Linked DNA regions of Styela clava. The protein of the gene in region 1 interacts with the protein of each later gene in a biochemical or structural test. Links are inferred from orthologs where the notes say so. Each region holds a gene or a part of one and is shown in the gene's direction. Other genes may lie near its edges. The genes, in order: E3 ubiquitin-protein ligase MARCHF6-like and ubiquitin-conjugating enzyme E2 J2-like.

Region 1 (16,384 bases):
TAGGTTCCATCTGCTGGGATATAACAACCGGGTTGGAGTCATAATGGGTGTCGTGGGCCTGGTAGCAGTCCAGGCACTTCGACTCAAACGTGACGTCCTGTTTTTTTAATAGCATGTACTGTCATTGTACATCCCTTGTCATTGCCTGTCCCCTGAATTGTTAAACAATTTGCGATGAAACCAATTTCGACACACGTCACAGATGAGTCCCTCCTGCTTCATGGAAACGTTGTCGTCACATCTTTTGCACATATTTGGAGTCATCTTGAACTCTTGCGTAGTTTTTGTGGAGTTAATATACCGTTAGTCGTTCTCGTTTCAGTATAAAACTGTAATGAAAACGACTTCGGCTAATGAGTATTTACGTTTGTAAGGTGTCAGGCCGGCGATAATGAGGCTTTGAACTCGGCGCGTAATCTAGGCGCGCGGCTTCATTATCACCGATCTGGCACCTTATCTAATCTCCGTGCATGGATATCACTTCACTCAGGCCATCATGAAGAATGTGCGTCACAATAATTTGGCTCGCCTATACAACAAGTGAGTGGTTAACCATATTTATATATGTCTTTGTACATCTTTCACTTCTTTTGTATTAACATGTTTTTATTTTGTTTTAGGGACGCTGGAACAAGAGACCTGATCAAGCATGTCATGGCGCTGTGCTATATACCACCTATGTTTATTACGTCCAGATTCAAATCACTGAAAGAAAAGATGCAAACTCAAGAACTTTGCCGAATATTTTCAAAACACGAGCTATACAACAGTGTCTGGACTCCCAATGATTGGTCAGTATTCGACGTAGAAATTAGAGATGTTACGATGTATCGGTATCGGATATCGGTATCGGCAATATCGGCCATTTTTTCGGTATCGGTCATGTATCGATATCGGTTGGATTAAGGCCGATATTTCCGATATATTTACCTTTTCGATATGGTCTAGAATGTTTTCAAAGATAAGTTGGAATACTACTTTTTAATTTATTTTTTGTCTCAAGAGATCGTGAGCTATGACATACATGTCCCCACCCCGCGAGAGAATAGGATTCACGTGTTTTTAGCTATTTATCAGCCAAACTAGCTCAACTAATGTGACTATTTTCGCTGTCAAATTTTTATATTGACATTTTTAATATTACATAGTAATTATGAAGAAATATATCAACACAATTAGGCGCTCAGTTTTAAGCATACAGTGGAATTGGGGTCCTTATTAACGGCACATGGACTTTCGGCACGGGTATAAATTCTGACTGTTTGTCGTCAAGTACGAGTGTCATTTAGTGCGTCGACATCGATAAACTAAATTCCGACACAATTATCCCTCTACGCAGGTATTAATTTTAATTTTGTTTAACTACACAATTTCTTCATAGATATATTGACATGACCGCCTAGCTAGCCCCAGCTAGACTGTCTCAAAATATATGATAGCAATTGTAAAATATTATAAAATAGTGAAGCAAATAAACATCCTTGACGGTTATAGGTAGGCCTTTTTTGGTCGGGGCTGATTGATATTCTTTCATGTTGGCTTTGACTTATGGCGTCGACGATTACGATTAGCCACGAAATAAAATATTTGTAAAATGCTTTTAATTTGAACGTAGGCGGCGGCGGTGGGTGATATTCGATATTTTTTTAAACACGAATAACGATATTCTAAGGTCGCGATATTGACATTAAATTCAAATTGGATATCCCGGCTTGTGAGTTTTCTAATTGAACACCAAGAATACTAAAGCATATGGATACCGAACATTAATTTCATATTATGTGATACATCTTTTTATTCGATCTGAAATAATGTGAACTATGAACAACGCTCTAAGACCATTGTTTTAACCCGTCTGTCTTACACAGCACACCTAATCAAGTATTAATTACATAGTATCGGTATCGGAATATCGGTAATATCGGACTTTTTGTAGTATCGGCGTATCGGTATCGGCGTTTTTGACTGGTATCGGATCGGTATCGGTATCGGCGACAAAAGTGGTATCGGTACATCTCTAGTAGAAATAAGAACCAACAATCATCTGGAAGGTTGGCACCGCCATTCACCGAACTTCAGAGCCCGTGTTCGGGATTTTTTTGGATCGAGGTCGTTTCTTCGATTCGGACTTTTGCCACCGGATGAAGTCGACCCGATCGTTTCAACAGTTCATTCGATGACATCAACGATTTGCGTTGATTAATTGGAGTGAATGTCAAATATCTTTTTAGTAGCCTACGTTTATTAACCTTTCTTCTCTTGATTTTTCAATATATTTATTAGGAGCAATAAAAATGACTGAACTCCGTTGCCAGACGGTAATTGTCTGCTCCAACAAGTGCACGTTCTACATCTTTATATTGAGCTTTTGTGTGAGCAATTAGACACATGATAAAATGACCATTGTTGGTATATATACAATACATGGTGCCGATTTAGTATGTCTGTATGTGATATACCTACATGGTTCTACTTGAACTTCCAAGTGTTACATCATTGCTGACTTATTTCTAATTGGTTACGGTTAAGTGTTAAAGTAATAAATGAGGAAATCGAAGCTCGGGGAAATCCAATTGTTAAGTAGCTAGGCAATAGTCGCACGCTAAATATCGCATTTCATATAATTTTAATAATATAGCCTACACTGGACTTGAAAAGTCAAACGTGCTAGAAAAAAGCCAAAACGTTCAATTGGGCAATAAAAAGCCAATATGACAACCCTGAGCTGGAGAGCTATTAAATACGGATGTTTTCCAGAACTTTGACCCCTGAAAAACAACTTTTCTGACGTCTCAATCGCTTTGCCGGGACCGAAAAGACGATGTTGCGTTGGTTTATTAAGCAATTTCTCTTAGCCGTCATATTGTGGTTTGATAAGTGCGATAGTCTATTATTTGTCTGAGCGACCGACGCCTTGACGCCAAATGATCAAACTTTTCGCTTTGCCGGTTTCGATTCGTCCCAGAAGGGCTACGTTGAATCTCACAAGCGTCAGAAACATAAAAGTCGACAGTGGTGCATGATTGCCACCAGGTAAACTCATGTTGATAATAAATGGAGCACAACCGGTGTTAGCAAAACGATGTAATTTGCCGACGTTTCAAATTTCTATACAGAAAAACTTCATCAGGCCATAATATGGAAAGGACACAAGTGGATATATATAGAGCAAAAAAAAGAAAATAGGAAAAATATGAAAAAATAATCATGGCGTCAACTCTAATCTAAAAGGATGATAATAAGATAATATATATAAATAAACAAATTAGCGCAAGTTCAAACAAACGAGGATTATTCAAACAATGATTTATACACAGGCGGGAAAAGTGTGGTTTCTTTGAAAAAAATATCACGTTATCGACTAGGTCCTATTTAGGAAAAGGGCTTATATCAAAATATTGTTTTTAAATTAAGGTTAGGTATCATTTTAGGGAAAACATGGTGGCTGTTATTTTGGCAATATTGCCTTTGTAATTTTAATTCATAATATATGTTGTTTGGCTGATATTGCGGTATTCAAACATATATTTACTGTGCTAGTTTCGTTTTTACCTGTGTTCATTGATTTGTTTATGTTTTTATATTATCTGGTGTAATAAACCAATGACATTAAACAACATGATGCGCAACTCCGACATTTTTGTCCGAAGATCGTATTCAATAGCACGCTCCAATGCACATACTTGACGAGACGAAAACGAGCGGACGTGTGCTGCTTTCGAGGCGTAGCACGAATGGTGTTCGTGCCTGCTTTGACAGTTGTTGTCGATTTTAATGATATTTTTGAAAGTTGGGGTAAAATAAAATCGGTAAAAGGTAAGGTGAATACTATTGTTGTATATCACACCCGGGCATCGCACTGTTAGGTACATGTGGGAAAGCCAGCCTTTGTCAAATACTACGAAGTTATTAATTCAGTACGGTACGTAGTTGCCCATTTGCCGAAATTACATATTTACTTACCCCTTATGGTTTCAAATAGTTCATGCACCTCCAGTTAGATTTTTTTAATCAGTGAGGATATATACTCATTGTTGATTGCTGCTCATTGTAACATACTATTGCGCATTCACTTTTATTTGCGTATTGTATCAAAGTGTTAACAAGTTCACCTAACATTTCACTCATACCGGTCTATATTGTATAGTCTGATTTCTCAAGTATTTGGAGCCACGAATGCTTGTAAATTTCTGACTAAACCCTTTTTATTAGTTGGTTTATATACCAAATTCAGTAAAATATTTTTTACTTAAAACATGAGATATTGGATTTATTAGCTTTTCCATTCTAAATCATATAGACTGCTTTATTTATTCTTAACGAAAATTAATAAATCTCCTCTCTTTCTTCAGATGTGAAAGTTGTGGACAAACCTGTCTAAGCATTGTGAGACTCTTGCAGTACAAGAGACAATAGCAGAAATAGTAAGTATATCAATCAAGAAATTAAGCCGACATAAAGCAAAACTTTCAACTATTCGTCTAATCTCAATTTCCTATTATTTATTCACAGGACAACTATAGCAGACGGGGAGATATCAGAAGTCTGGCGACATATCAGTGACAGTGTGATTCCAAGAAATATAATGTTTGCAATAGAAAAACAACCTATGGAGGCATGCAAAGACATTTGACCCTCCGGTAGAGTTGTTTATGGCCCCCGCATCCTGCAGGGCTTGAGGGAAATAACTAAAAATTCCAAAGCGTAAGATTGCATAAGCGGTCTTATTTGTAAAAAGGCACAAAACACGCCAGACATACTTAAAACAGCTTTGGAAATGAGGATTACGGGTACCTCACTGCACCTGTGTTATATTTGGTTCATCAACTTTTGGTAGTACTATAGAAGAAATTCCGGAAGGGGTATAATCATCATTCATGATAAAATACTATCATATATTTTTTGAACAACTTCAATCTAGACCAGGGATCTCAAACTCGCGGCCCCAGAGAACTTCCAGTGCGGCTCTCGAACGCTTAACAATAATTGTAATAGTATTTTGGAAGTTTTTTTTTTATCTAAATGTAATAGATTTTTCAAACCTTCTAAAGTGAAATTGATTTTTCACACAGAAAACAATTTACTGAAAGTAGTTTTGGAATATTAATTTGTTTTGTCCACATTTTGACCCAATTAAGAATACACATCAAGCTAGCAAAAGAATACTTGAATAAAACACTTGAGTAATTAAATTAAACGCAAAGTACATGAAGAAAGTGGCATTTTCGAAGAAAATGGGAGTTGTAACATTTCTGCTCTTCACAAAATTCTGAAGCACATTGTTTAATTTGTCATATTCCCATCAATACAATCAAAAAACACAATAAGCTCAGCAGTCAATATGACAAATTCGAAGACCAACTTCGAACAGAAAATTTCCATGTGTTTGTATATTAATATAATTATACAACGACTTAGTTACTAAAAATCAATATCAATAATAATTCAAGCAATCCTATGCCACGCAATGTAGTGCAAATGTCTTGTCGAAAAAATCTGTCATTTGTTTTTTTACTGATCTATACATGAAATGATAAAAGTAACTTTTTTGCATTACTGGAATTAATTAAACATTCGTAAAGATCCAGATAAACCCATGATCATGTGGCCTCGTTAGTTAGAGTTGGTACTATAAAATCATTTCGAACTGGCCTTAGTATGCTGGTGGCACAAAAAAGATGCCAAACGCCAGGACAAATGTAATTATTAAAACATTGAGTTTAAACTGTAGTATTTTTGTTAATTTTAGGTTCATATATTTAGATTAAGTTATTTTTAGTGTATGTATTCTTCTTTCTTTATTCAAAGCTTGTTCAAAAATGATTTTGATGGTTGTACATAGAATTTTACGATTTTTTATAATAAATACTGTAACTTGCAAATGTTGCAATAATAGTGGAATGCAAATATTAATATGTAATTGCATTTGAAATTGAAGAAAATAATAAAACTTAATCCAACTGTTTAGTTGCATCACAATATATGTCACAAACTAAAACTATCTTAAAAATATCTTTTAAGTATACATTATCAAAAACTGTTTGCGGCTCTTTTTACAATTTTCAAAATGCAATGCGGCTCTCGAAAACCCATGAGTTTGACACCACTGATCTATTCTAGACGATTCAAGCATTGCTTTGGGAAATTATATCACTTCAATTAAATTGAAATAATCTCGCTATATGAAATACAAAATCGTTGCTATCATAAAGGTAAACCAATTCAGCCACTCGAAATATATTGGCCTTCACAAAGCAATGGAGGCAAAATTGAGAGTTCATGAGCTATGAACATTTGTTCTTTTCTTTGTCTTGAACTTTTCATACTCCATAGCCCCTATTAATTTTTTTAATTTTAATTACCATGTGATGGTCATACATATCTTTAACTTGTATTTTCTGTCATGATGTATTATCTCAATGTGCCAAACTATTAATTAGTGTGCATATTTTGCTTCCAGATGACATAAATGTATTGTCATGTTTATTACCTCAGCTTGGAGTATTGACAAGAAAAAGGTGCCAGTAAATTAGGTAAAAAAATTTTCAATTCATTGTTATAATCAGAATTCACAATCAATAGGAATTATAAACAGCCAACAATCAGTGAGAATTATATGCGAAATCCCGCAGAATAAATTTGTCTAAAATCGGAGGAAGGCAAAAAATATAGGTAGTTTCCATCCACACAAGCATTTCAAGAAGACTTGCTCGAGCCAAACTAAATGAGCATCGTCAGGTGATCGGTAAGGCTGCAAGTTGAATTCAGCCCTGCAACCTCCTGCATAGAAGATAATATTAATTAGTGGGCTATGAGCTAAATTCCTAAATTTAAACAAACCTATCTACGATGCATTATGTACCAGCAATGTTACCTACGATTAACTGAATATATAATATGTCTAATAAATTCACCTACAAAAGCAAGTTCGATAGGTGCAAACTTTGTGTTATGGAATTGTATCGCAGCACAGTTTTGTATGACACCCTCTTTAAATGAAATTTCAATGATTAAGCGCAAACATTAAAATTACTAACTTTGAACTTTGTCATTATCGGCAAAATGTTCCACACAAATCTTTCCGCTATCGCGTTTGTAATCTTCTCTGATAAAAAAAAAACGTCTATGATGTCCAGAATTGCTCTTTACAGCTTGCCTGTTATTCCAGCTTTCCAAGTAAGCAAAACTTCTTAGATATAGAGATTATTTTGTTTCGTTACAGGCGCAAAAAGGCAGGTACTACACGTAAAAAAGACGCCGAGTAGCAAAAGCGAGCGGAAAACGGACGCGAAAGGCGACGAGAAATATGTGCATTGGAGCGTATCATGAAATATAATGTTTCGCCTGTAGTCTTATGGAGTGACGTCAGAGTTGCCTATCATGTTGTTTAATGTCATTGAATAAACTAATTGAATTGAATATCTGTCTGATCATCGGCACAAATTTCAATTGTTACCTCATTATTGACTTCATCCTGATTGGGAAATAAGCAGAAAAGACAATACTTAGGTAAACATTATTTTCCTATTTCCTGAGTCATTTCAATTTATTGTCAGAAATTTTTTGTCGCCTTAAACAGTTCGTAACTCACTTCATCCTGACCTAAACCTATCCATCCCCATGGCTACCTCGATTGATGTTGCCCTGGTGTCTCTCTCGTTTCCGTGGGACCATTTGAAAGCTCTCTCGTTTCGACGATAGACTTTCAACTTTTCCGAGGCGCGTAATGGATTTCCGATTGGATTTGACATGAAATCAATCATTTGCGTTGATTTTTCTCGCATATTCTCCTGATCTTGATTCGTTTCTCATCATGTATCAAACGCTAGTATATCCCAGCCCACCATAAGGTGCTAATTTTGGCAGTTTTATATATTTGCGAAAGTCGTGGTTAATATTACGGCCAACCAATGACATTAAACAATGTTGTTTAATGTCATTGGGCAAACGTATCAGTCAAAAACACCCACAAAATATTAGCCAAGATGGCTTATCGGAATCGCTTCCCCACCTGTATTTGGCCTTATTTTTTGTATTTGCGTATTTTCTCAATATCATTGCGTGACCTGGTTCCGTAGTACCCGAGCTGTACATATAAATAGAACTAAAGAGCTCTCCATAAGTGTGTGTACCAATATGAAGACAACTAATATTGTTCGCCTACTCTACACCAAGTTGTGTAAAGGGACAGAAACCTATGGGCACAGGATATATTCACTTGGCTAACACGCACACACAATCCCCGAACTCGTAATAGAACTAGAATAAGAAAAATCTGAATCAAAATGGGCACTCGCAGTATATTATAGAAATATGATATTTGTGGTGATCAATCAATCAATCGATATTAGAAAATAGACAATTATATTTCATTCGATTGGTAAATATTTGTCCATTTTATAAAACTGGAAATCCACGCCAGGAGTTGAAAATAATTAACCAAATATGACCGTATATAGCCGTATCGCTATCATCCAGTCATTTACCGAAAACTGTTTATGTGTTGTTTTATTATTATTATTATTTGTATCATCATGTTTCTGGTTTGACGAAAATATAAATTCTCTCTCTTCATTCCCTTACCGACACCTTGTGGTTAATAAACCTTGCCTTCTGCTTCTAGCGTTTTGTGGAAAGGCTTACGAACAGACTATCGCTCCTTCGCAAAAAGCTTTGGAGGTTGTAGACTATGTCAGTATGTAGGCGACACTACAGTACCGGTACCTGTAAGCTAGCTTAACAATTTGTTTTACATCACACTGATTCCTTTCACCAAATTTCAATAAAAAATATTAATCTGCGAATTGTTCAGTTAGAGATTTTTTGAGATTAATGATTTTTTAGGCAGAACTGGGACAGGCGGCAGGGCAGCAATCACAAGCTGACAAACACAAAATGGATTGTGCTTGCGTGCATTTTTATGCAAACTGTTACCCAAGAAATAGGGAGGTCGCATTTCTGAGATACTTTCATGACGTTATTGTGACAGTACAACACCCACCAAAATGGAAGAGTACGGTAATCATTTTCGATGATAATATACGACAACGTGTCGAAAGATAATACACGACTTATTCAATAACTAGCGAGCAATTGAAAAAACCTTCCTCTAATTTTATTATTCTGATTCATTTTTGTAGAATGACAAAATAGTTCTTTCTGAATCTTCAATAAAATAGCTGCTATTCCAGTCTATATCTATGTTGGGAATTATTTAAAACAAGTCTCAGATAGATCAGAAAACCATGGCCTCTGTCGAAGAGAGCGATTATATTTGTCGTGTATGTAGATCTGAAGGTTCCCAAGACAAACCACTTTATCATCCATGTATTTGTACTGGAAGTATACGATATGTACATCAGGACTGTTTGGTACAATGGCTTCGCCACAGCAAAAAAGAATATTGTGAATTGTGCAAGCATAAGTATTCGTTCAAGCCAATTTATAGTGCTGATATGCCCACTCGTCTGCCAGTAACTGACCTCGTGTATGGGTTATTCCGCAGCATATTCATGGCTGTAAGATCATGGTTGCATTATACCTTGGTAGCGGTGGCTTGGTTAGGTATTGTCCCCCTAACCGCTTGTCGAATTTATAAATGTCTTTTTACCGGATCGGTAAGATCTTTACTGAGCTTACCAATGGATATGCTTTCTACTGAAAATGTAGGACAGGATATTTTATGTGGATCATTGGTCGTGGCTTGCACGATGGCTTCTTTCATCGGATTAGTGTGGCTTCGCGAACAAATCATGAATGGTGGCATGCCAGGCTGGCTAAATAGAAACGGTCCTGATAACGTCGCTGTAGCTCCGAATGCAGAAGTTGCGATAAATGATGATAACAATAACATAGAACATGGAGTCCCGAATGCTGAAGATATTGTTGAACAAGAAGAGGATGAATCGGATGATTCTGAAGACATAGATGAGGAGGAGGAAGATGCGGAACCAGAAGAGATTCAGCTGGATGGTGCTGAAGTTGAAGATCTGGAGGAAAATGAAGTGGATGTACAAAATGAAGGAGATGATGGCAATTGGAATGCACTTGAATGGGATAGAGCTGCGGAAGAATTAACGTGGGAAAGAATGTTGGGACTCGATGGATCTCTAGTTTTTCTCGAGCATGTATTCTGGGTTGTTTCACTCAACACTCTTTTCATTCTTGTATTTGCATTTTGTCCGTATCATCTTGGACATTTTGTTCTTGCAGCGGTTGACCTTGATGTTTACCTCGTTGCTTCACGATTCGAAGGATTCCTCACCACTTTATTCGGATACGTTATTTTGACCGTGGCATTTTTTGTGTGTCATGCTGCTATGTTTTTGTTGAAAATGCAACGATCTGGAAGAGTTCTTGGGATTTTGTATATTGTATTGAAAGTAGCTCTGCTAGTTATGTTTGAAATGGGTGTTTTCCCACTTGTATGTGGATGGTGGTTGGACATTTGCTCACTACAGCTTTTTAATACAACTGTTCAAGAAAGAGTTACTAATTACATAAATTCACCTGGAACGTCGACTTTTTTCCATTGGTTATTAGGAATGATTTATATATTTTACACAGCTTCATTCATGCTGCTTTTAAAAGAAGTTTTGCGTCCTGGCGCATTATGGTTCCTACGCAATTTAAACGATCCGGATTTCAACCCGATTCAAGAAATGATCCACTTACCATTGTACAGACATATTCGAAGATTTTTACTTTCAGTCGTTATATTTGGATCTGCAGTTCTAATGATGATTTATTTGCCAGTGCAAATGATACTTCGTTATTCACCCAACTTTCTACCATATCATGTTAATTTACGTAAAGATGTTCCAATCAGTGATTTATCTCTTGAACTTATCCTACTGCAAGTTATCATACCTGCTTTACTAGAGCAAGGCCAGACAAGGCAATGGTTGAAATCAATAATAAAGATTTGGGCGAAAGTTGTTGGTACTTTACTAGGTGTAAAGTCATATCTTCTTGGTGATACTGACGGCGATGCCAGAGCTCAAAATGAAAATCAAATTCAACCTCAACGGGCGGTAAATAATAATGATGAAAATCAAGAAGAAGTTCCAGTTGTGCCATTTCAGCAGCAAAATTTACACCCAGAACCACAACAGATGGCTTTAGATGGCGAGATACATCAACCCTATACTCGCCCAAATTATTTTGTGACTAGAATTGTGCTTTTGCTACTTTTAATGTGTGCAACGCTTTCATTGATCAGCCTTACAGTAATGGTCGTACCTGTGGGAATTGGACGATATTTATTTAGTTTGTGGTTAGGTACTGAAAATGCTAATTTTATACATGATTTATATCCTACAGCTTTGGGGTTATATACATGCTGGCTGATGGGACATTTGGTAAACTTATCAATGGTATGGTTTCCTCGGGGTTCAAGAGCGATTTGGTCAGAGTGTAAAACATTGATTAAAATGATTTCTAAAATTGCGATTGTTGGGGGTTTTGTTTTTGGATTATTTCCACTATTGTTCGGATTGCTTTTTGAGCTGGTAATCGTAATTCCATTGAGAGTACCTTTACACCAATCTCCTCTTAATTTTCTTTGGCAAGATTGGGTGCTTGGAATTCTTTTAGTTAAGTTAGCAGTTGCTTTAACCTTGCTCGGCCCCCAATGGAAAATAAGAATTGCTATAGAGAGGGTCTTTCATCAAGGACCTAGAAATTTCAGTCTTCGTGATATGTACGTTGATGTTATTCATCCCATTATGTGTAGTCTTTTATTATCTTTAACTGTGCCATATGTGATTGCTCATTCGGCCACATATGTTTTAGGTTTGCCACACGATTTTTCAAATATTTTATTACGTCGTATATATCCTTGTCTCATTTCCTTTTTTGCACTAGTTTCTTTTCTCATGTTTGAAGCGAAGCAGTTTCGTCGATTGTGCGATCATATCAAAAATGAACGTTATCTTGTTGGGAAAAGATTACTCAATTACGAGCCTGCTAAAGCCTAAATAATTTTAATTTGATATCAATTTGTTATTATTGAATAAAAAAAATTTTTTTTGGAAACTGGTTTCCAGTTTAACTCAATTGTTGTGAGTTTTTTCTGCTGCTTCATTTTATTGCAATAATTTCATGATTTTTACAGCTTATTGTATAACTGTGTTTTTTGTCTGTTATTCTTCTGTGTTTTTGTTTTGCCTCCATATAGTATTGCACTTATCTGGAGATTAATAATTTTCTAATAGAAATGAATGAACTGCCTTATGTTTGGTAAATCTAACAAGTTTTAGAAGTATCGTGCTTGGAAACCATGGATAGTTAGTCTATTAATGAAAACCATAAAAGAAACTTCCTCATTTTTTGTAAAAAAAAATTGGAAAACGTTTGTAAAAGGAACTCAAATGATAGTGTAACATAAACTTCTGTGTAAAGAAGTGTTCAAGATGATTCAGCTGAAATGGAATTTGAATTGCTTAATGAATAATTAAGACTTCGTTAGAACTGAGTATAAAAATTACTATTGTTTTTGTTAAATTGACTTTTTTAGGGATAAATTTGGCATATAGCAGTTTTTTCCCAACAAAATTTTGTTACATATTCACTGTTCAAATTAAATCAAATTTTCGAATCAATTCAAAATTAATTATATTTGGGATTTTAAGTTCTTGGTTTTAGAATTAATTAAGGATAGTAAATTTCGAAAAAGCTATTGAGAAATTTAAGTCTCACAGGCCTTATTTTAAAGTTATAAAAATTTTTAAGATATAGAAAATCAATTGAAACTTTTTTGTTTTTCCATATTTGAACACATTGAATATGAATCAACTTCAACATGTTCTCTGTTAAATATACTTATCTAATTTAAAATATATTCAATATCTGAATTACAGTGGTAGATTATTTGGGTTCGGCCATCTCCGCATTACACTGCATGATATTTCCATTGTTTCATTCAAAGAGAATTATATATTTTCTTATGTTAATTACCTGCCTTCGTAGTCTAAAATAAGCCTGATCTTTCTTCAATAGATGATTGATCTGTCTCATCAATTTTGTGAACTGCTTTCTCGTTGTACTGGGAAATTCAATATAGTACCATATCTAATATAGTACTCTAAATTATCAATTATTTTACAATATTTTCATCAATAATATGTTATTGTCGCATCCACAAGCAAGAATTGGACTATTGAAGAGATTAGGCAGATTATAACAAACATTGGTACAACAGGAAAACCAGATAAAATATCTGTTATTTGCTCTACATTTCTGCCTTTAAATTCAGTCCCCATAGTATTCACACTGATTTGTATAAATTTTGAATGCTTCTCAGATGTGAAAATCTTTTTTTTTCAGAAGATTATTCAAATTAGTAAATTTCACATGGCTTTTGGCCAGCCTCACAAGCTTGCAGTGTCAATAACTTATTATTATGTATCTATAATCAGATGTGTTTGTGCTTATTTGTATTTCTTGACTGGGATTTATTGTTCATTGCTTCGTTTGGCATTAACTGTATTGAAAAAGTGTGTTTGAAATGAATGACAATAAGTATTTATCATTCCTAAAGGAAGACCATCTTGCACATATTTGAATAATCGTTGGCATATTAGGATGTTTCTGAAGAATACGATTTCCCCGTTTCAATATTGCCTATCCTATTATTTGCACTTTTTTGAGGTGGTGGACATGGGATTTGAAGATAGAGATATGTAACCTGTGAACGTGACACAGTTAAGTCTCTAACTCTAACCACTAGGCAATCGTGCGCAGAAAAAATATGGAAGGTAAAATAATCACATCTCAATAATTGTATTTTATGAACTTTATTGCTTAATATTATTTGTGCTTGATATTTCTCTCACATTTTCACTTTTGGTAAAAGGATGCTGTTGATAAAAATGTCGTAATACTGTACAGTGTATAATATATATTTGAATTTTCTTTTGCTCATACTTAGATACTACCATATTATTAATATTACTTATATGATGGATAAACAAAAAGAAGCATTGGTGAGAATTACTGGAACTGTACAAACAAAATATGAAGAAGTGGATAGATATGCACGGGAACTTCATTCAAAAATTGACACACTCGAAAATTGTTACAAAGATTCGATTTTAGAACTGGACGAGCAATTCCAGATGTTGGCAGAAAGTCTCGAAAGAGCTCGAACTCGAATGATGTCTGAGATTGAAACTGAATTAGCAGAGAAAATGAAACCGTTGCAAGAGCATTTACAAACTTTCGAATCAGCAAAACATGATGCTGAAGATCTAATTGCAATGTCCAATGAGGCCCTAGATTTGACAGCACCCGATCAATTCTCACAAGCCGCTCTTCGTATTAAAGAGCGTGTAACAATGTCTCCTATATTTCGGCTTTCGCTGTGCCCGTTTGATGATAATGCAGAACCAGAATGCTTCTTTTATGCTGATTTCGCTAGGGAACAAAACGTTTTGAATCAGCTGAAATTTCTACCTATTCCAAGCCAACCCGAAATTGTTAAAGCCGGATGTTTTGCGGAAAACAATATCGTTCATTGCCTATGGACAATTTTGGAAGAAGAAGACAATTTTTTATCTGCTGATATGCCGATAAGTTTATGCAGCGAACAAACAGATCGTCTTCACCTGCCTTCTTCTATCAATTATTTCGTCGTACAATATCGACAGGTTCGAACTAGCGGAGAAAATATTCCATGGATCACTATTGAATGTGTTCGTTCAATGCAATGTGATATAAAAGGGTTAATATTTCATCAACCTTTTCTTGAGTTCCGTGTGCAGGCTTGGAATAAGGCAATGGGGGGTACATGGAGTAAAGTAGGGTCAATCTCTACTCCAGCTTTTCATTTTGCTCTCAATCCAGACGCCTCCCATCCAAATCTTAAAGTGATTTCAGATGATGTTGTGGAATGGGACGCTTCGTCAAATAAAGTTTCTCAAGATAATAGAATAAAAAGTGCTAGCATGACTCGCTCGCCGTCTCCGGCGAAAGGTGTAACCTCATCTTCTCCTAGAAGAGCTAAACCTAAAGATCGCTTCACTGGAGAGTCTTACACTGTACTTGCTGACACAGCATTTAGTGACGAAGAAGCTTATTTTGAGGTTTCACCTCATCCTGACTGCAAAACGTATTCTGTAGGAATAACCTTGAAATCGCTTGCCAGATTTGATCAACTGGGAAAAACAGCAACATCATGGTGTATACATATCAGCAGCTGGATTCAGAATACATTCGTTGCGAAACATAACAATAAAGTTAAAAATCTAGATTCATCAGGTCAAACACCAAATAGATATGGAGTCTACTTCAATCTTTCTACTGGAATATTGTCTTTTTATAATGCCGAAACACGTCGACACATTCATACGTTCAAGCAAGTAAAATGCAATGGCCCGATTGTTCCAGGATTTCTTATGTGGTTCGGATCTTTAGAGGTATTTACTGGGATTCAAGTTCCATCGTGGATTGTCACACGACCTTCAACTTCTCTCAATATCAAATCTGATTCAAGTTCGACAAAATCAAATTCACCTGTGAATCCAGCAAGTCCAGAGGAAAAGTCATCTTTGAAATAAGTTTGTGTTTTCTTCCCCTATTTCTCACATAAAATTCACTTATGAAGATTAATAATTCGTATATTGCATGAATTTTGTTGTTGTTTATATTTAGGAAATATGACAAAATAATAATATAATATAGTGAAAAGACTGAGTAGAAGAGAAATATAGCTTGAGTATAAAAATGGGAAGCTGATAAATGATTTTATTATTTACCGTACATCTCCACTTATTATTAATAATGCTTTATTTTCAATATTATGGTGCAAATGCATAAAACTTTTTTGAATTTCGTTTTTATTGGTGCCCTCAAGTTTCAAGATGTAGTGTTACTTTATCCTTTATGTTGTAAATAATAAATCTGTTATGAAATTCCATATTAGACTAGTGAAAAGTGTTATTTTGTAGTAAGCTATCTCGTAGTTCCTTCATTTTTTATTTTTCGTGGCTCCATTTTTTATTCTCAAATTTATCTCATATTGAAATACTGATAAAATTTGCTATGTTATCAGATCAACTCTAAATCATGCTGCTTATAGTAGAGAGAGGTTGCTCATGATAGTTATCTCCTTCCATATCTGAACATTTACTTCTTGGTATTTTCAGATTTTAATAATAATTTTGAATTGAAATATTCTAAATTGGTAAATGTAAAGCAAAAATTGTTGTATCTTGCAATAAGATTTGATATAAAAAATTGTATTTCCAAAAAAAAAATTTTTTTTGGGAGAGTTACCGTAATATTCAAACATCTGAATTGAAAAATAAACTTTTTTAATGACATTAATTCACATTTTTGAAAGTTTAAGTTATTCGGATTTTATACACAAATATTTCGGTACAAA
Region 2 (17,398 bases), on another chromosome or scaffold:
GAATGCACATAATTGCAAAATTTTGTTCCCAACAACTCAACTTGTGGGATGAAGAGTGTATATTTTATTATATTTTTCAATAATAAAATCTCGCCCCTCTTTATCGGAAAGACTTGCTGTTGTAATTTGAAGAACGTGAAATTTTACGTTATTTCGCCTATGCAAATTTCGACGGAATAGGGCATGTTCAGTAACGGAATGCACATAATTGCAAAATTTTGTTCCCAACAACTCAACTTGTGAGATAAAGAGTGTATACCTTATTATATTTTTCAATAATAAAATCTCGCCCCTCTTAATCGGAAAGACTTGCTGTTGTAATTTGAAAAATGTGAAATTTTACGTTATTTCGCCTATGAAAATTTCGACGGAATAGGGCATTTTCAGTAACGGAATGCACATGATTACAAGATTTTGTTCTCAACAACTCAACTTGTGGGATGAAGAGTGTATATCTTAATACATTTTTCAATAATAAAATCTCGCCCCTCTTAATCGGAAAGACTTGCTGTTGTACTTTGAAAAATGTGAAATTTTACGTTATTTCGCCTATGCAAATTTCGACGGAATAGGGCATTTTCAGTAACAGAATGCACATAATTGCAAAATTTTGTTCCCAACAACTCAACTTGTGGGATGAAGAGTGTATATCTTATTATATTTTTCAATAATAAAATTTCGCCCCTCTTAATCGGAAAGACTTGCTGTTGTACTTCGAAAAATGTGAAATTTTACGTTATTTCGCCTATGCAAATTTCGACGGAATAGGGCATTTTCAGTAACGGAATGCACATGATTACAAATTTTTGTTCCCAACAACTCAACTTGTGGGATGAAGAGTATATATACTAAAATAATTATCAATAATAAAATCTCGCCCCTCTTAATCGGAAAGACTTGCTGTTGTACTTTGAAAAATGTGAAATTTTACGTTATTTCGCCTATGCAAATTTCGACGAAATAGGGCATTTTCAGTAACGGAATGCACATAATTGCAAAATTTTGTTCCCAACAACTCAACTTGTGGGATGAAGAGTGTATATTTTATTATATTTTTCAATAATAAAATCTCGCCCCTCTTTATCGGAAAGACTTGCTGTTGTAATTTGAAGAACGTGAAATTTTACGTTATTTCGCCTATGCAAATTTCGACGGAATAGGGCATGTTCAGTAACGGAATGCACATAATTGCAAAATTTTGTTCCCAACAACTCAACTTGTGAGATAAAGAGTGTATACCTTATTATATTTTTCAATAATAAAATCTCGCCCCTCTTAATCGGAAAGACTTGCTGTTGTAATTTGAAAAATGTGAAATTTTACGTTATTTCGCCTATGAAAATTTCGACGGAATAGGGCATTTTCAGTAACGGAATGCACATGATTACAAGATTTTGTTCTCAACAACTCAACTTGTGGGATGAAGAGTGTATATCTTAATATATTTTTCAATAATAAAATCTCGCCCCTCTTAATCGGAAAGACTTGCTGTTGTACTTTGAAAAATGTGAAATTTTACGTTATTTCGCCTATGCAAATTTCGACGGAATAGGGCATTTTCAGTAACAGAATGCACATAATTGCAAAATTTTGTTCCCAACAACTCAACTTGTGGGATGAAGAGTGTATATCTTATTATATTTTTCAATAATAAAATTTCGCCCCTCTTAATCGGAAAGACTTGCTGTTGTACTTCGAAAAATGTGAAATTTTACGTTATTTCGCCTATGCAAATTTCGACGGAATAGGGCATTTTCAGTAACGGAATGCACATGATTACAAATTTTTGTTCCCAACAACTCAACTTGTGGGATGAAGAGTATATATACTAAAATAATTATCAATAATAAAATCTCGCCCCTCTTAATCGGAAAGACTTGCTGTTGTAATTTGAAAAATGTGAAATTTTACGTTATTTCGCCTATGCAAATTTCGACGGAATAGGGCATTTTCAGTAACGGAATGCACATGATTACAAAATTTTGTTCCCAACAACTCAACTTGTGGGATGAAGAGTATATATACTAAAATATTTATCAATAATAAAATCTCGCCCCTCTTAATCGGAAAGACATGCTGTTGTAATTTGAAAAATGTGAAATTTTACGTTATTTCGCCTATGCAAATTTCGACGGAATAGGGCATTTTCAGTAACGGAATGCACATGATTACAAAATTTTGTTCCCAACAACTCAACTTGTGGGATGAAGAGTATATATACTAAAATAATTATCAAGAATAAAATCTCGCCCCTCTTAATCGGAAAGACATGCTGTTGTAATTTGAAAAATGTGAAATTTTACGTTATTTCGCCTATGCAAATTTCGACGGAATAGGGCATTTTCAGTAACGGAATGCACATGATTACAAGATTTTGTTCCCAACAACTCAACTTGTGGGATGAAGAGTGTATATCTTAATATATTTTTCAATAATAAAATCTCGCCCCTCTTAATCGGAAAGACTTGCTGTTGTACTTTGAAAAATGTGAAATTTTACGTTATTTCGCCTATGCAAATTTCGACGGAATAGGGCATTTTCAGTAACAGAATGCACATAATTGCAAAATTTTGTTCCCAACAACTCAACTTGTGGGATGAAGAGTGTATATCTTATTATATTTTTCAATAATAAAATCTCGCCCCTCTTAATCGGAAAGACTTGCTGTTGTAATTTGAAAAATGTGAAATTTTACGTTATTTCGCCTATGCAAATTTCGACGGAATAGGGCATTTTCAGTAACGGAATGCACATGATTACAAAATTTTGTTCCCAACAACTCAACTTGTGGGATGAAGAGTATATATACTAAAATAATTATCAATAATAAAATCTCGCCCCTCTTAATCGGAAAGACTTGCTGTTGTAATTTGAAAAATGTGAAATTTTACGCTATTTCGCCTATGCAAATTTCGACGGAATAGGGCATTTTCAGTAACGGAATGCACATAATTGCAAAATTTTGTTCCCAACAACTCAACTTGTGAGATAAAGAGTGTATACCTTATTATATTTTTCAATAATAAAATCTCGCCCCTCTTAATCGGAAAGACTTGCTGTTGTAATTTGAAAAATGTGAAATTTTACGTTATTTCGCCTATGCAAATTTCGACGAAATAGGGCATTTTCAGTACCGGAATGCACATAATTGCAAAATTTTGTTCCCAACAACTCAACTTGTGGGATGAAGAGTGTATATCTTATTATATTTTTCAATAATAAAATCTTGCCCCTCTTAATCGGAAAGACTTGCTGTTGTAATTTGAAAAATGTGAAATTTTACGTTATTTCGCCTATGAAAATTTCGACGAAATAGGGCATTTTCAGTACCGGAATGCACATAATTGCAAAATTTGGTTCCTAACAACTCAACTTGTGGGATGAAGAGTGTATATCTTAATATATTTTTCAATAATAAAAGCTCGCCCCTTTTAATCGGAAAGACTTGCTGTTGTACTATGAAAAATGTGAAATTTCACGTTTATTCCCTTATGTCGATTTTGACGAATTAGTTTTCAGTAACTCTGGCTGGCGAGATGCAGACTGAATATAATAAAATTATTATTAATAATGAAATTCCCAGTTTTTGCTTACAACAACTCTCAAATACCCATGTAATGTTGTTGTTAATTCCATTTGCGTATTTGTTTGGTGTAGCGAATTTGGCTCCGCCCATAATTCTGCCTCCATATTTGAACTTTTCGCCTGGTCGCATACAAAGGTCACCGTGCTACTAGCTTCACAGTGGTGTACGGTACCTACGAAACTACACGAGGCCCGAGACCCGTTTAAAGCAATGTCTTACGGTATTGAACCTTCACAATGAAGTATAATAAGTATATTTCGACTCCATAATCAGCAAAAGACGATAAAAAAATAGATAAAAACAAAAGTAACTGATTATAGAATCGGGAAAGCGAACAAAACCTAGAGTAAGGTTTGAAACGTACCGGTACAGATTTTAGATGGAAAGGTATTGATAAAAGAAGTAGTACGTGTTCGCTCACCCAAGACGAAATTATTGGAAAAGTTGTATTTCCCATTCCCCCTGATTCAGTGATTCGAACAGATTACAAGATATTTAGTCGACTAAGGAGTACAATATTTATCATCTTAAGTTTGAAATCTCTTTTTCTGCCAACTTATCAAATAAGTTTTCAACTATTGCTAATAATATTTTGAATAGAATCATTTTATATGACATAACGTCATGGTCATCTTGGGGGCAGGAGGCTTTCATTTTTAAAAGAACTGAAAAAGTAAATTATATTATTATTCTGTCTTAGATGTGAATCAAAGGTACCGTAAAAGCGCCTAACTTCGGACAAAATTACTATATTTTCGTCTATAACTCGGCCATTTATTGTCCAAACGGTGCCAAAATTGCTCGGTAAAACATTCGTGCGGTAATTTACATTCCCTGCAAATTTCGGTTCAATTGGACTATTTTTACTATTGAAATAATCGATATTTCTTGCCATCTGACCGTTATCCTTCACTGCCCTAACTTCGGACAGTCATTTTCTTCACTGCGTAACCGCGACGCACAGAGAGAAAGAGGCTTCCGATGCGGATGACGTAATCACGTCGTTGCGTGAAGATAAGACGCTCGATCGTCGTCGTAACGTAACATTGACGTCACGACGAAAATGCATTATTTGAAACTTCCGTCGTCCTATGTTTACATCTTTCGTTCGTTATTTTCAATACTTCAGATGAGTATAATAACACGTTAGTCATTTTAATCAGGAAATGCATACGTAAATATATCTGATGCAAACCGTTTCAATCCACAATGAAGTATTTTAACGGGCTTCTATCGAAGTCTTTGAAGTATTAATATTCTCGGCGGATAGCTTTTTTTTATTCTGTGCAGTTATCTTTATAAATGATAATTTATATCAAACACACGGTAAATCCGATTGTAAAGTTTAATTTAAAATTCAACTTAATCTTGTAAACATGTAGGTCCCGTTTATTTGTTGGAGATTAAATTTATTTTTAATTTCGAGTGAATAAAATCCACCCAGGCCGTATTCAATAACTGTCATTTCGACTACTAATCATAAAATAATGGTTAAGTCAGTGCACTGTGCCATATGGACGTTGGAATTATCATAGTTTTATATATTCGATTTTTAACGTCATCGATTAAGTGTGACATGTATTTTCATTAATGTAATTTTGGCATATATTCATACATGACCGAACAAAATACAAAAATATTACATTGGAACGCCGTCTTTATCTTAACGGAAATTGTCATATTGGCTCCGTTGTGTCTGGCGTCAAAATTCATTTCCGCGACGCAGTGTGACGTCGTGTCGGAAGTGAGCGAAAAATAATCTACGTGAGGTTGACGTATTTTTGACGCTGCGTGAAATCTTAATATTCTTACGAAATTTATAATTCAGAATTTTAGGTTTTATTTAAATCTCGTACGACATCTTGCGATCACTCAAATAAATTATATACATTGTTGTCGCCCTCTACCGAATGATGGTATTTTGACGATGATAGCTTCAGTAGGAGCGACGCTCTGCGCCGTTGAATGCCGGGCAGTCAATTTTCGGCAAAATTTCTGTTTTTTTACCAAAAAAATAATTATGCAACATTAAAAAAGATGAGAATAGATGTAGATATAACAGCGCATCCTATAATAATTAAAATTAGCAATATACGGCGCGTTTTAGCCAAGATATGGCCGTTCAAAAATTTTGTCCGAAGTTAGGAACTGTCCGAAGTTAGGCGCTTTTACGGTACGGTAAATGAAAACCATATAAAAATTTGTAACACATTATAAAATTATGTCATTTCAATGTAATTGTGACAAAGCAGTTGCTCTGAGCACACTTCGATCTGAAATATTGGATTTAAGAAAGGAGAATGCAATTTTGAAACAAAAACTAAGTTTGTTTGAATGTAATATGCCAGAAACTATTTATCATCCCGAATTTGTTGACGCAAGCTGTCAAACTGAATGTGATTATGAGGAACTCAAAAATCACTTGTACGAAAATACATCCAATGTTGCAGAGACACTCACAGCTGAAAGCATTGCCCAAACTGCTCGTTCATATATGAACACGGCTGGGTGGGTTTATGATGAACAAAGGGGTATCTACTTTGATTACAACACTAGTCTATATTACTATCCCAACACAAAGCTATATTACAATTATAAAAATGGGTGCTATTATAAATATAATCAGGACTCACAAGAATACGAGTTTCAGCATCAACTTATGAGCTTCAATGACACGTCAAATACGAATATTGATAGAGATGATATTATTGGAAAGCAAATAGGTGATAAAATTTTTTTTTCGTCTCTGAAAAAAGCGGTATTTAAATATGGAAAATCTCAGAAGAGTCATCTCAAAGCAATCCAGGTGAACGAACTTTGCTCCCACTTTACGAATAGCCAATCTGAAGTTGAAGGGATGGCAGAAAACAATAAAAATTGTATATCAATATGCAAAACTGAAATCGGGCGATCACCATATCATGATTACAGTTTGTCTGATTCAGAGATTGAATGCATTAAATCAACAAGGAAAAATTATCTTGTATGTAGGAAATGTTCTAACATAACGGAAACCTGTTGTTGCCAGAATGAAAAATGCTTAAATATGAATATCAATGGCAAATCAGTATGTAACAGAATGACAAGAAAAGATGAAAAAATATCAGAATTAGACAGTTGCTCTGATACTGAACTAGAGACATTGTCAACACATCCTTTTAAATTTTTGAAATGTCCAAAATGTTTGTCTTTTGTTAATTCTGTTTGTTGTGAAGGTATAACAGAGTCGAGAAAACGACGGAAAGCTTCGGATTTAGCTGAAGATTCAAATAAACGCCATTGCTTAGAAAACTTTAAGTTAGTGTGTGATGATTCTTCCAAATTTTCAAAAGAAAAAGTCATTTATTCAATGGATTGTTTGGATGAAAATGATACAGACTTGGATTTAGAAACTAATGTGATTCCATGCATTCGAGCTATGGTCACTTCATCTAAAAGTCTAACATCTGGTACGTTATTTTTAATTACTCGTTATGGTGCAATTTTTGGTTCAAGTGAAAACTGTGAAATTCAAATACAAGAAGCTGATGTAAGTCCAAAACATGCAGCAGTGTTTTATAACCAACAACAAAGAAATTACTTTGTCACTGATTATGGGAGTGAGAATGGAACAACTCTAAATTCTATCACCGAACATAATCCTGGTATAACAACTGTGCTAGCCAGCCCTATTACACATAAAAGTGTGCTAATAATAGGAAACACTGTGTTTGTGTTACATCTGCATATTGGTTATGATACATGCGATGACTGTGAACCTGGTCAAATCCAAGCCATGATTGATACAAATAAGACCAATAATTCAGTTGAAATTTTGACAAAAAATGAAAAGGAAAAACAAAGGCGATCTGAGTTGAAGAATATTAGGAGAAAATATAATTTACATAATGATAAATATAAGCAATCGGAATTCGGTATTGAACCGCAGTATGTGGATAGAGCTTCTGAAAGAAGGCGATTGTTAGGCAGTGATAATCCATATGAAAAAGATGAGATGCCAACTTCAATGCAAACAGAGTTGGCCGATCACAACAAAGGCCACCAAATGCTAAAGAAAATGGGTTGGAATAAGGGACAGAGTCTAGGAAAATATCAAACAGGGATTACAGAACCTATTGCACCTGAAGGAAGTGGAAAAGGGAAATTCGGACTTGGTTACGGGAAAAATAGATAACGTTTGCTATAATTTACCTTTGCTATTGATGTTCTTGTATTGAACTATCTGGTGTCATAAATGCAAATTGTACAAACATTTTTCACGATACTCATTTTAATATTTTTCAAACATGAATTGGTGTCAAACACAGTTGTATAAACACATTGTATGGATAACAAATTTGAAAACATAATTCAAGACCTAAGTGGTCTGTCTAATTAATCTTGCTACCCAACTTCTGCCTCAACATCGTCTATGACAGAACACAGAACCATTCTTGAACTTATTTTTTGATGCAAAATTGTGTACGTACGTACCACTTGAAAATATGCTTCTGCTGTATAAAAAACAAATTCTGGAGTTATTAATGAAGAGAAATTTGTCACTATCACACCTTGTCCGTACTTTGTTACCCACAAAAACTATTCGCCAGAGTGCATGGATGCTGAAAATACCACGGTAAATCCTTTACTGAATTTAATTATTTGTTTGTGCAATATTTTCTTTTGTTTTTACAGGAGTTACGGTATCTTATAATAAGTTATATTTAGTGACAGAAACAATATGTCTCGTAAAAGCTCATCTGTGCAGCGTGCACCAACGACGGCTACACAAAGACTTAAACAGGACTATCTTAGGTTAAAGAAAGATCCAATTCCATATGTCACTGCAGAACCCCTGCCATCTAATATTCTTGAATGGCATTACTTGGTGTTAGGACCCAATGACACACCCTATTTTGGTGGTATATATCATGGAAAATTAGTCTTTCCGAGGGAATTCCCATTCCGCCCACCTTCTATATACATGATCACCCCATCAGGAAGATTCAAATGCAACACAAGATTGTGCTTATCGATAAGTGATTTTCATCCAGATACTTGGAATCCTGCCTGGTCTGTAGGAACTATTTTAACTGGGTTGTTAAGTTTCATGGTCGAAGATTCTGCCACATTAGGTTCTATTGAAACATCACACTATACAAAACGTCAACTCGCACTTCAGAGTGGACCATTCAACTTGAAAGATTCAGTTTTCTGTGAACTATTTCCAGGAGTTGCCAAGGAAATTAGAGCAAGTATGAATGCTCAAACAACATCTCAGACAACAAATGCTAATGTAAAAAATGAACAACAATCAAACGCTGCAAATGAAAGGGAGAGAGACAACCAATCTAATCTTGTAAATTTAGTTATTGTTGCCGGAGTTGCTCTATTTGCTCTTGCAGTTAATAGCGTTATTCAAAGTTTATGAATATTATATTTGTGAAAAGTTTATATCGCAAATTTAACTTGATAGAAACGATATAGATCTTACGAAGTATCGTACTTATTACAGCCGTAAGCCCGTAATAAGCCAACTCGTGCTAAAAAAAATTTTGCTTAGATGGCCTAAATCACTGCACCTCTGTGCTTGTTTATGTGAATTAATTTGCAATGCTCATTTACTTGTCAAAGGATACTTCTGTAATGCCTGCTTACATTATTGCTGAATATTAGATGTATATTAATTACGCTCCATCGATAAGGTACAATGTGAAACTGGAATACAGATAACAAATAATTACTATGGTATGATGAATCGTTAATATCGTTTTTAATTTATATGGTATTCTGAAATTTTGAACCTTAAAATAGTCAACCCAATACTTATATTGTCAACACCAATTGGATAGGACTCCTCTGTTTCATATGACTAACACTATTTGGAGGAAACTTAGAAATGTCACTCAATAAATTCCATCAGGAATACAAAAAATCATCAATGTTGCATATTGGAATTGTTTATCTTTGAAGGAGTAATTTCAAATCATTTATTGTTCAATTGTAAGTTTATTTTTTCGATGTCCTGATGAAATCATGGCAATTTGTATAATTCGGTCATTATTCAACTGAGTATTCAACACTCATATTTTTTGCTTTGCGACAATATTTATCGAGTGTATTGTATTTTTCATTGGCAATCCATAAAAGGAGTATAAATATTATGTTGTGGAAAGTTGAGATTATAACCCTGTTACTTGAGATAACATGTAGGTATTTTAATGGCCATACCCATGGGTTAATTCATTACATACGACAACAAGGCTCACAATTATTAGTCAGCATTGGTGATATTCTAGTCAATTCAGAAAAAATTAAGGATTCGATATATTTAATAATGAATCATATGTATTTCACTGGTCAACTTTATCTAACTTCCGTTTACCGTTTGACAATGTCGTTAAATTATTTAGATTACTTAACATACATTGAATTTCCATACATGCTAACTTTTTTGTACACCTGAATCGAGTGTTTTTTCTATTGACTTCTATGTTATGTTTTAAATAAATTAGCAGTTCTAGGAGTGTGTAAGAGTAGCATATGTAATGTAATAGTAACAGTCTGTTTTGCTCCACTGTGAATCAGTTTGCTATGTTGTATATAGAATATACGTGTAAATATCGTTTTACTTTGTTGAAATGAGTTCCAATTGGGCACCGTGAGTGAATACATTATATAGAGGAAATATTTTTTTGATTGGAAAATATTTTTGTCGTCACCTTAATGGCAATGTTGGTTATGCCTCTTATGTGTATTTATTTCTACATATTTTGATGTTTTTGATTTTCAATTCGGACAATGTATCTGAAAACCGAACTAAAAATTGCTTTGGGATTTTGGGATGTGGTACTTTTGTAGGTATACTTTTGAATCTGAAAGGGAGGGAACGTTTTTTGCCAGTTTATTATAAGAGTTTGTTTCTGTGTTTGTGAAGTGCAAAAAACAAAAAGGGAAAATTTTGTTGAATTTTCAATCTAGTGACCATTGATTGCAGGTTTTGTGATTTTCTTGTATGTCCACACCACATGATTTGTCTTGTATGTCCACATTTGTTTTTTTCAAACCTTCAAATTCTGTGCGAATCTTTTATTTCATTATCTTATATTTTGCGTTTGTATCATATTATGTCATTATGTAAAACATTAGTCTTCAAATTTTGTCATCTATTCAAATCCATGGACTGAGCTCTTCAACTTGAATATTAACATCCAAAGATTCACTATGAATGAGAATCTTGGATTCTGTGAGTATGACATTGTTACCTTTTGACTAGTACACATATCGCTATTTCAAAATAAAATATTTTCTCGATACAATGAATTATCCTAATGATGCATATTTCATATTTAGTACATGGCATGGAGGAGCTGATTTAAATTAAATTGCAATGGCTCCAACCCCAGCTCAAGCTTTATTCTTTACCTTGGAGCTAGGCTCAGGCTCTGCAGTCATTGAGGTTTTTAACATCACCACTAACATAAGCCCAAATGCAGTTTCGAAAGGTTTACTCAAAACTATGATATACGACTTACCGTACATATTTTTTCACTAAACTTTAAAATTCATCTGGAAATTTTCAAATTAATATTAGAAATTAACGGTGATTTGTTCGAAATATTAAAAAAATTATTAATGGTAAAAAATTAAATAGAATTAAAATCGCAACTTCCGATGAAGCGAGTAATATCAAAAGCAATCTCTATTTATTAAATACATGAATTTTTCAGCCTCATCATTATTAACAATAATCTTTTGTTTTTACAGATAAACGCACAATATCGAAATGTCTTCTCGTGATGTATTTTACAACATATGTTGCTGTCAACACATTACTTCATGAATATAAAAATTTCTTTGTTTACGATATATCAAAGATTTTAAATAAATTTGAGGTATGCATGAATGTGATGATTATAAATAAAGCGCCCTCTTTGTATCTAACATACCTTTTGTATTAATGTGTTCACAAATTTTTTTTTTAGCTTTGGAGGCTTCTGACAGGAAAATTTATATTTTTAACTCCTCATGAGTTCTTTTTTGGAAGTATTTTATTGTACGGGTTTTCAGATTTTGAAAGAAGATTCGGTTCATATAAGTTCATGGTAGGTGAATTTTTTTGTACTATTTTTAGCGAAATATCTCTACAGAGGAAAAAGTTGAGTGCCTTTGAACTGAATAAAGGCATTAAAGAAGTAGCTAATAGTATGTAAGGAATTAACTAATCTTAAAAAGTCATTACCTAATGACTTTTTAGTATTCCCTCCCATGAATGGGAGTTGAATCTGAAATTTTTAACTTGTGATGTTACGAAGTCCCAAGGCTCTCGCCACTCAGGGCAGGGATAGGATTTACATATTTATCCTTGAGGGAGAGGGAAGCCGATAAGACGACTTAATCATATGGCAAACCACAGCTTTTCGTCCGGTTACCAGTTCATGTTGGGTATGGAATTAGTTGGCCAGTTATTTGTTGGAAGCATGAACTTGATGGTGGAGAAAGTTGTAGCTGACCAGCGGTTATGTGAACCACCCTACAGCGTCGATGAGTCCAGCAATCTTCTCGCACATAACTAACCCCGCATGGGATTCGCACCTGCAAACCAATGCAGTGTAATCAGAGGTGCGGTGGTGAGCGTATTCCTAACATGTTGCACCATTTTTTAGCTTATACTGGATTTTTCTTTTTTCAGTCTTTCATTCTATGCAATTGGCTGTTGACATCATTACTTGAAGTTGCATTTACCACTTATTTCAAAGAGATCAAGATATTGCCATCAGGAATGCAAGTTTGTTATCTGTATACTTATTATTTATACAGTTCAATGTCGTAGTTAAATAAGCATTTGACAGCTAGGCGTCTCTATTACTGACTGATATTCAAGATAAGTTGAAGAGTTTGTGTAGGAGAATAAAACCCAGTATGGTTATTTGAAATTATGTCCGGTTGTATTTGTAAAGATGACTAAATTCGTGAACCTATTCTTTGATCATGTTTTAGGTACTGGCTCATCTATGCTCTCTTGGTGTTTTATTATCATGATATACCTGGAATTGAACAGGCTCGATTTGGCCCAATTAGGATTACTCAAAAAATACTTCATTATGGTCTGGTGGTCCAGATTATTGCTACTGATGAAACAAGATATCCTGTTTGTGGACTCGGTTTGGTAAGTATATAGTGAACTGTAATGGGTTAATGCATAATACTGTACGAATCAACCAAATGTATGATATAAATAGAGTGATTATTACTCTTGCAGATGAAATTGTTTCCGAGTGGGGTGGGATAAAATAAATTTTGTATATTTTCACTGGAGTCTGAACCTGAATTGTATTTTTAAACTCCTTGATGTCGTGTCGAGAGTTTAGGTAAAATTCTGAATTATCTGGAGACTGAGCCAGATTGCAGGCTTATAATGTCCAAACTTCCTACTAAAACTAATAGTTTAACTAAGCGCTCTTACCAGACAATTAAAAAAGGCTTGCATATGCTGAAGTTTTTGTTATCAAAATTTGATTTTCTCTAAGAGTTTTTTACAACCTGGAGTAGATTGTAAATTTTCTCCTGCTTCACAGCCCTGGAGGGAAGGTGCAGGACCATTTCTATCCTATTTGTTGCTATGTAAATTCGTCTTCAACCAAATTTCCTTTCAAGCACAGCTTGTTTATGAACCATGCCTTGTTTTGCTGTTGATTATCAGATCTAACCTTGACTTGCACTGCTGTTTGCGTGCTTCCAAAATCCTTAATTAAATAATTTTTTATTTTGTCATAAATTTATAAAAAAGTATATAAATGTATATAGTGAAAGTTTGTTTTACATTCAGATTTCTGGACTCATTTACTATTATAATATTTTGTATGTTGGAAGTTTTTTATCATTACCAGATACATTTCGAAAAACCACAGAAAACTATTTAGAAATGTTGGTAAGTAGAATCAGGGTTTATTAAAATCTAGATGCACATAGCCCAAGATTGTATCAAATCTATCTACCTTGTAGACAAGCACCTTGATCCACCATATATATTATAATGATCTGTAAAATTTGTTCAATCATATTAGTTTTTGCCGGAGAGTCTGTAGATAGAAATGTTTGGTATGACACATAACTGGCTTATAGAATGACTACGCTATCCTAGGTTGAAAATATTTTAATTCCGATTCTGTCTCTAAGACAGCGAGATTTTTTTGACCAAATTTCCACTTTTTAGAGTTATGAAATACAGCCTCCTAATCCGCAGAGCTCGAACTTTTCAATCCGCTGAATATATGATCCTGTTGTTAAATATCTTTCCCATATTTTAGTTGGGTTCTACAAAGCCAACATACGGATTAATTGGTGCGACTTTGTCTGTACAAAGACAAATGCGACTTGATGAAATTGAACGTACAATTATACAAAATCGAATGCAAGCAAGACATCGCCAAGTATGTATTTCTGCTGATAACAAACTAAACCTGACGTAGATCTGTTAATGTTGATCGTGTCTATAAATTGTTGCTGAAGCAAAAACTTCAGTTTTCCCTTTAATTGCTGAACTAACATGGAATAAAATTGTGGCCCAACACTAACCTGGTAGCTGGTACACATTACGTTCCAGTGTCTGCATCTTGGTTCACATACTATGGGAGTACTGGTACCGTTTTTTACGGTATATATATTTGTGTGTTATAAATATCTGAATATAATTGTCAGGTGGGAACAAATATTCCTGCTTTGTTCCGTCGAATTGGTATTGCAAATCAACCAAATCACAATGTTCAACCCCAAGCAGTACTTAGCGAAGAATCTATTGGGCAACTTATCGACATGGGATTTCATAGAGAAGAGGCTGTAAATGCGTTGAGAATGTCGGGCAATGATGTGGGTAATGCGGCAGCCATGTTGTTACGATAATGTTGGGTAGAATTTGGCCAATTTGCATTGTTTGTGTTGTCAAATTCATTGTGAGTTTGCCTGGTGACACAGCCATTGATTCATATATTTTGGTGTCAATGTGGGCTGTAGCTTTGTTTAGTTATAAAGAACCAATCGCTTTTTCATGAATAATTGGATATTCTTTATATGAATCATGTTATGAAGGACTTGGTGTTATATTTTACTTCAAACACGCCGTTTACTTTGATGTTAAATGAAATCCCGATGTGGTATTATTCTTATTTGTCGAAATAGCATATTAATGTATTTTTAGTTCGTTTCTCTCATATTGTCATTTGTTTATTAAAAATTAAATATTTATTTTATGCTGACAGCATTGTGTTTTTCTTTTTTGAATATAAGTCGTTGCAAAATGTCATTTTCGGTTCTGAGGAATTATCTGGAGTTCATTTTATCGTACTTTGGGGGGTCTGGGTATCTCTAATACTATTGCGACATGCTAGAATGTGTTTTATATACTATGGTGTTCTGATGATAATGAGTTTTTCCACATTTTGCTCCAAGTTGGCTATAAATCACATCGACCTAGTCTACAAACATTTGACGCTCTAGGTGCCTCGAAATTTTTTACAAGATAAGATACGGTATTTGCTTTCATACAGCAACTGGCAAATTTACCGGTATCTATGTTTCCGTTTCGCAACTTGTAAGAAAAGCAAAACGAGGTGTAAAGATGTGAAAACTAGAAAGCAATGCTCAAACACATCCCCCCAAAGTAGTACGGGCACCGCCGTACCTGTACCGATCCAATCGTTTACAGTAGACAACTGACGTGGGGGAGATGAGTTTTCCTTACCCCAGTTATATTAAACATGCTTTAACGGAGTATAACCCCAATCTGAAATCCTTTCAGAGGTTGCTAAGATTATGTTTTGCAAATCCTAAATAAAACATGAGGCGACCAAAACGTCGCTTTGCAGTTTGAATATATATGTGCTGATGTCTGGATCATGAAGAATTTAAGAACATTTTCTCTTCGGATCTTCTGTACAAAACCCCTGCTACTAATGCAATGCAAAAATGTGAGATTCGGTAAAACAAAAACGCCACGTCCTAAAATAAAGAATTAAAAACTATCCTTAGGGTTCGCGTTAGAAATGATTTAAAAAATTGACTTTCCAGCGCAATCTGCATTCCTAACCCTCACCCAAATCCTAATTAGCTGATTACTATTTTTCTTATTTTGAGAGTTGGCGAAGGCTTCGTATAAAAGATTCTCCTCTTCTGACAATATTCTTTTTCGCTTTAGAGACATGGAGCAATGTTTTCATCAATGTTCAACAACTTTCATACGGTTTATGGTACCGGTAGTCATTTTCCATTCGCAATTAAAAGTAAGAAGAGTTGGTAGCATAAAAGTCATATTAGAGAGGCAAAATACACTCGATGCATGTCATTATCAGCGAAAATCAGTACCCTTGAAGCTGTCTTGTTAGATATCAACAAGATTTTGCCATATGCCCAGTCTATTGCCAAGCTCAACACGGGCGACAAAAATGCTGACAACTAGGCTACAATAGATCCGTACAATATATATACTACAAATCCGGCTTGTTCCGATATTCAGTATTCATCTACTGATTGCGCTGCGCAATATGCTCATTTAAAAGTGATATCATGTAGCCTACACTATGAATAAAATGAATTTTGTTTTCGGAGCTTCGAGATGAAAATGTTATCTTAACTCAATGTGCATATACAGCAACTTATTAAGTGATGTATAGATAAGAATCAATGTCATATGCATATACAGCCAACTCAATACACCTATGCAGCCATGCAAATAATGTACACACACAGCCAATACCTTATATATATATATACCGCCAACACTATAGATATACAGCCGTTCGAATAATGCACATACAAAAATCTATGACGCCGTGTGTATATACAAACAACTAATTATACTGTCATTTAGTTATACAGTCATTTAACTGATGTACATACAAAATTATATTACATATGCGTATACAGCCAACTAAATATACATATACAGCTAATCAGGTGATAGCAGTGGCGTATCTAGGGTGTGGCAGCCATGACTCGTACTATGGGCGGCGTTTGAACAGGGGCGTAAAAACAGCAAAAAGTAATAATTATAAAAAGTTTCCATAAAATAATTTGAAATTGGGAATGACTGAAACTCGTATTTTCACTCACATAATAACGTGCAAGTACTTCAATTCAATAATAGTCATTATAAATTGTCAAACAACTATCAAGGGGGACATTTTTAGACTTTGCCATGGCCGCCATTTTACGTAGATACACCACTGGGTGATACACATGCAATATTCAATGTCCTATGCATATAGAGTCTATAAACAACTCAATATACCAGACTGGATTCCATGGCAGGTGCACGCCCGAGGGCGCTAGCGCTCCGCAAAAATGCACGCGAGCGAAATCAATTTTGCACGCCGAAAATTTGCAATTGCTCACCAATGTAAATCGGTTTAAATGGTTTTAAAATCAATAATCCAGTAATATAAAGATGCCAAAATATTATAACTCCACAATTGTCGACAAATACCAGCCTGCAAGATTTGGTCTGATCGAAATATTGCGAAGCAAAAAGACCATGGACCTTTCCCCAACCTTTGACCCGCGAAAAATTCCTCTCATTGTTACGTCTTTTTTGCATCTTGCTGATTGGCCAATGTCACGAAGTAAACAAGGAAGTCGATGCTCGGGGAAAGGTCCATATCGTGTTGAATGATAGGAAATAGGAATCCCGTGAGAATAGTTATGGACGAAAAGATCGCCTCCGCACCAATGGTAAAGTACGGCTCTGATTCAGCGTATTTTTCATACAATAATTTTACACGAATGTACTGAACAGTACCGGTATCTAAAGTTGCTCAAACACTCCCAAAATTAGTGACA

The links.
Region 2: the proteins of E3 ubiquitin-protein ligase MARCHF6-like (region 1) and ubiquitin-conjugating enzyme E2 J2-like form a complex in vitro, tested with the Homo sapiens proteins (2 studies listed by BioGRID, with this or other methods). The link is inferred for Styela clava from reciprocal best matches to the Homo sapiens genes MARCHF6 and UBE2J2.

The regions. Positions count from the first base shown.
Region 1 is NC_135262.1:12,197,375-12,213,758, forward strand, and holds E3 ubiquitin-protein ligase MARCHF6-like, read left to right. Parts: upstream 1-9,107; 5' UTR 9,108-9,245; coding exon 9,246-11,978; 3' UTR 11,979-13,931; downstream 13,932-16,384. Other genes in the region: uncharacterized protein LOC120332569, read left to right, coding at 497-540, 621-804, 2,021-2,203; FSD1-like protein, read left to right, coding at 13,959-15,557. UniProt on the Homo sapiens protein: Endoplasmic reticulum membrane-associated E3 ubiquitin ligase that plays a critical role in mitigating endoplasmic reticulum stress, the regulation of cholesterol and lipid homeostasis, and ferroptosis.
Region 2 is NC_135261.1:15,002,264-15,019,661, reverse strand, and holds ubiquitin-conjugating enzyme E2 J2-like, read left to right. Parts: upstream 1-8,280; 5' UTR 8,281-8,306; coding exon 8,307-8,996; 3' UTR 8,997-10,714; downstream 10,715-17,398. Other genes in the region: uncharacterized protein LOC120329411, read left to right, coding at 5,808-7,760; ubiquitin-associated domain-containing protein 2-like, read left to right, coding at 10,790-10,811, 11,333-11,460, 11,551-11,670, 12,258-12,349, 12,566-12,734, 13,395-13,496, 13,876-13,998, 14,267-14,467. UniProt on the Homo sapiens protein: Catalyzes the covalent attachment of ubiquitin to other proteins. Seems to function in the selective degradation of misfolded membrane proteins from the endoplasmic reticulum (ERAD).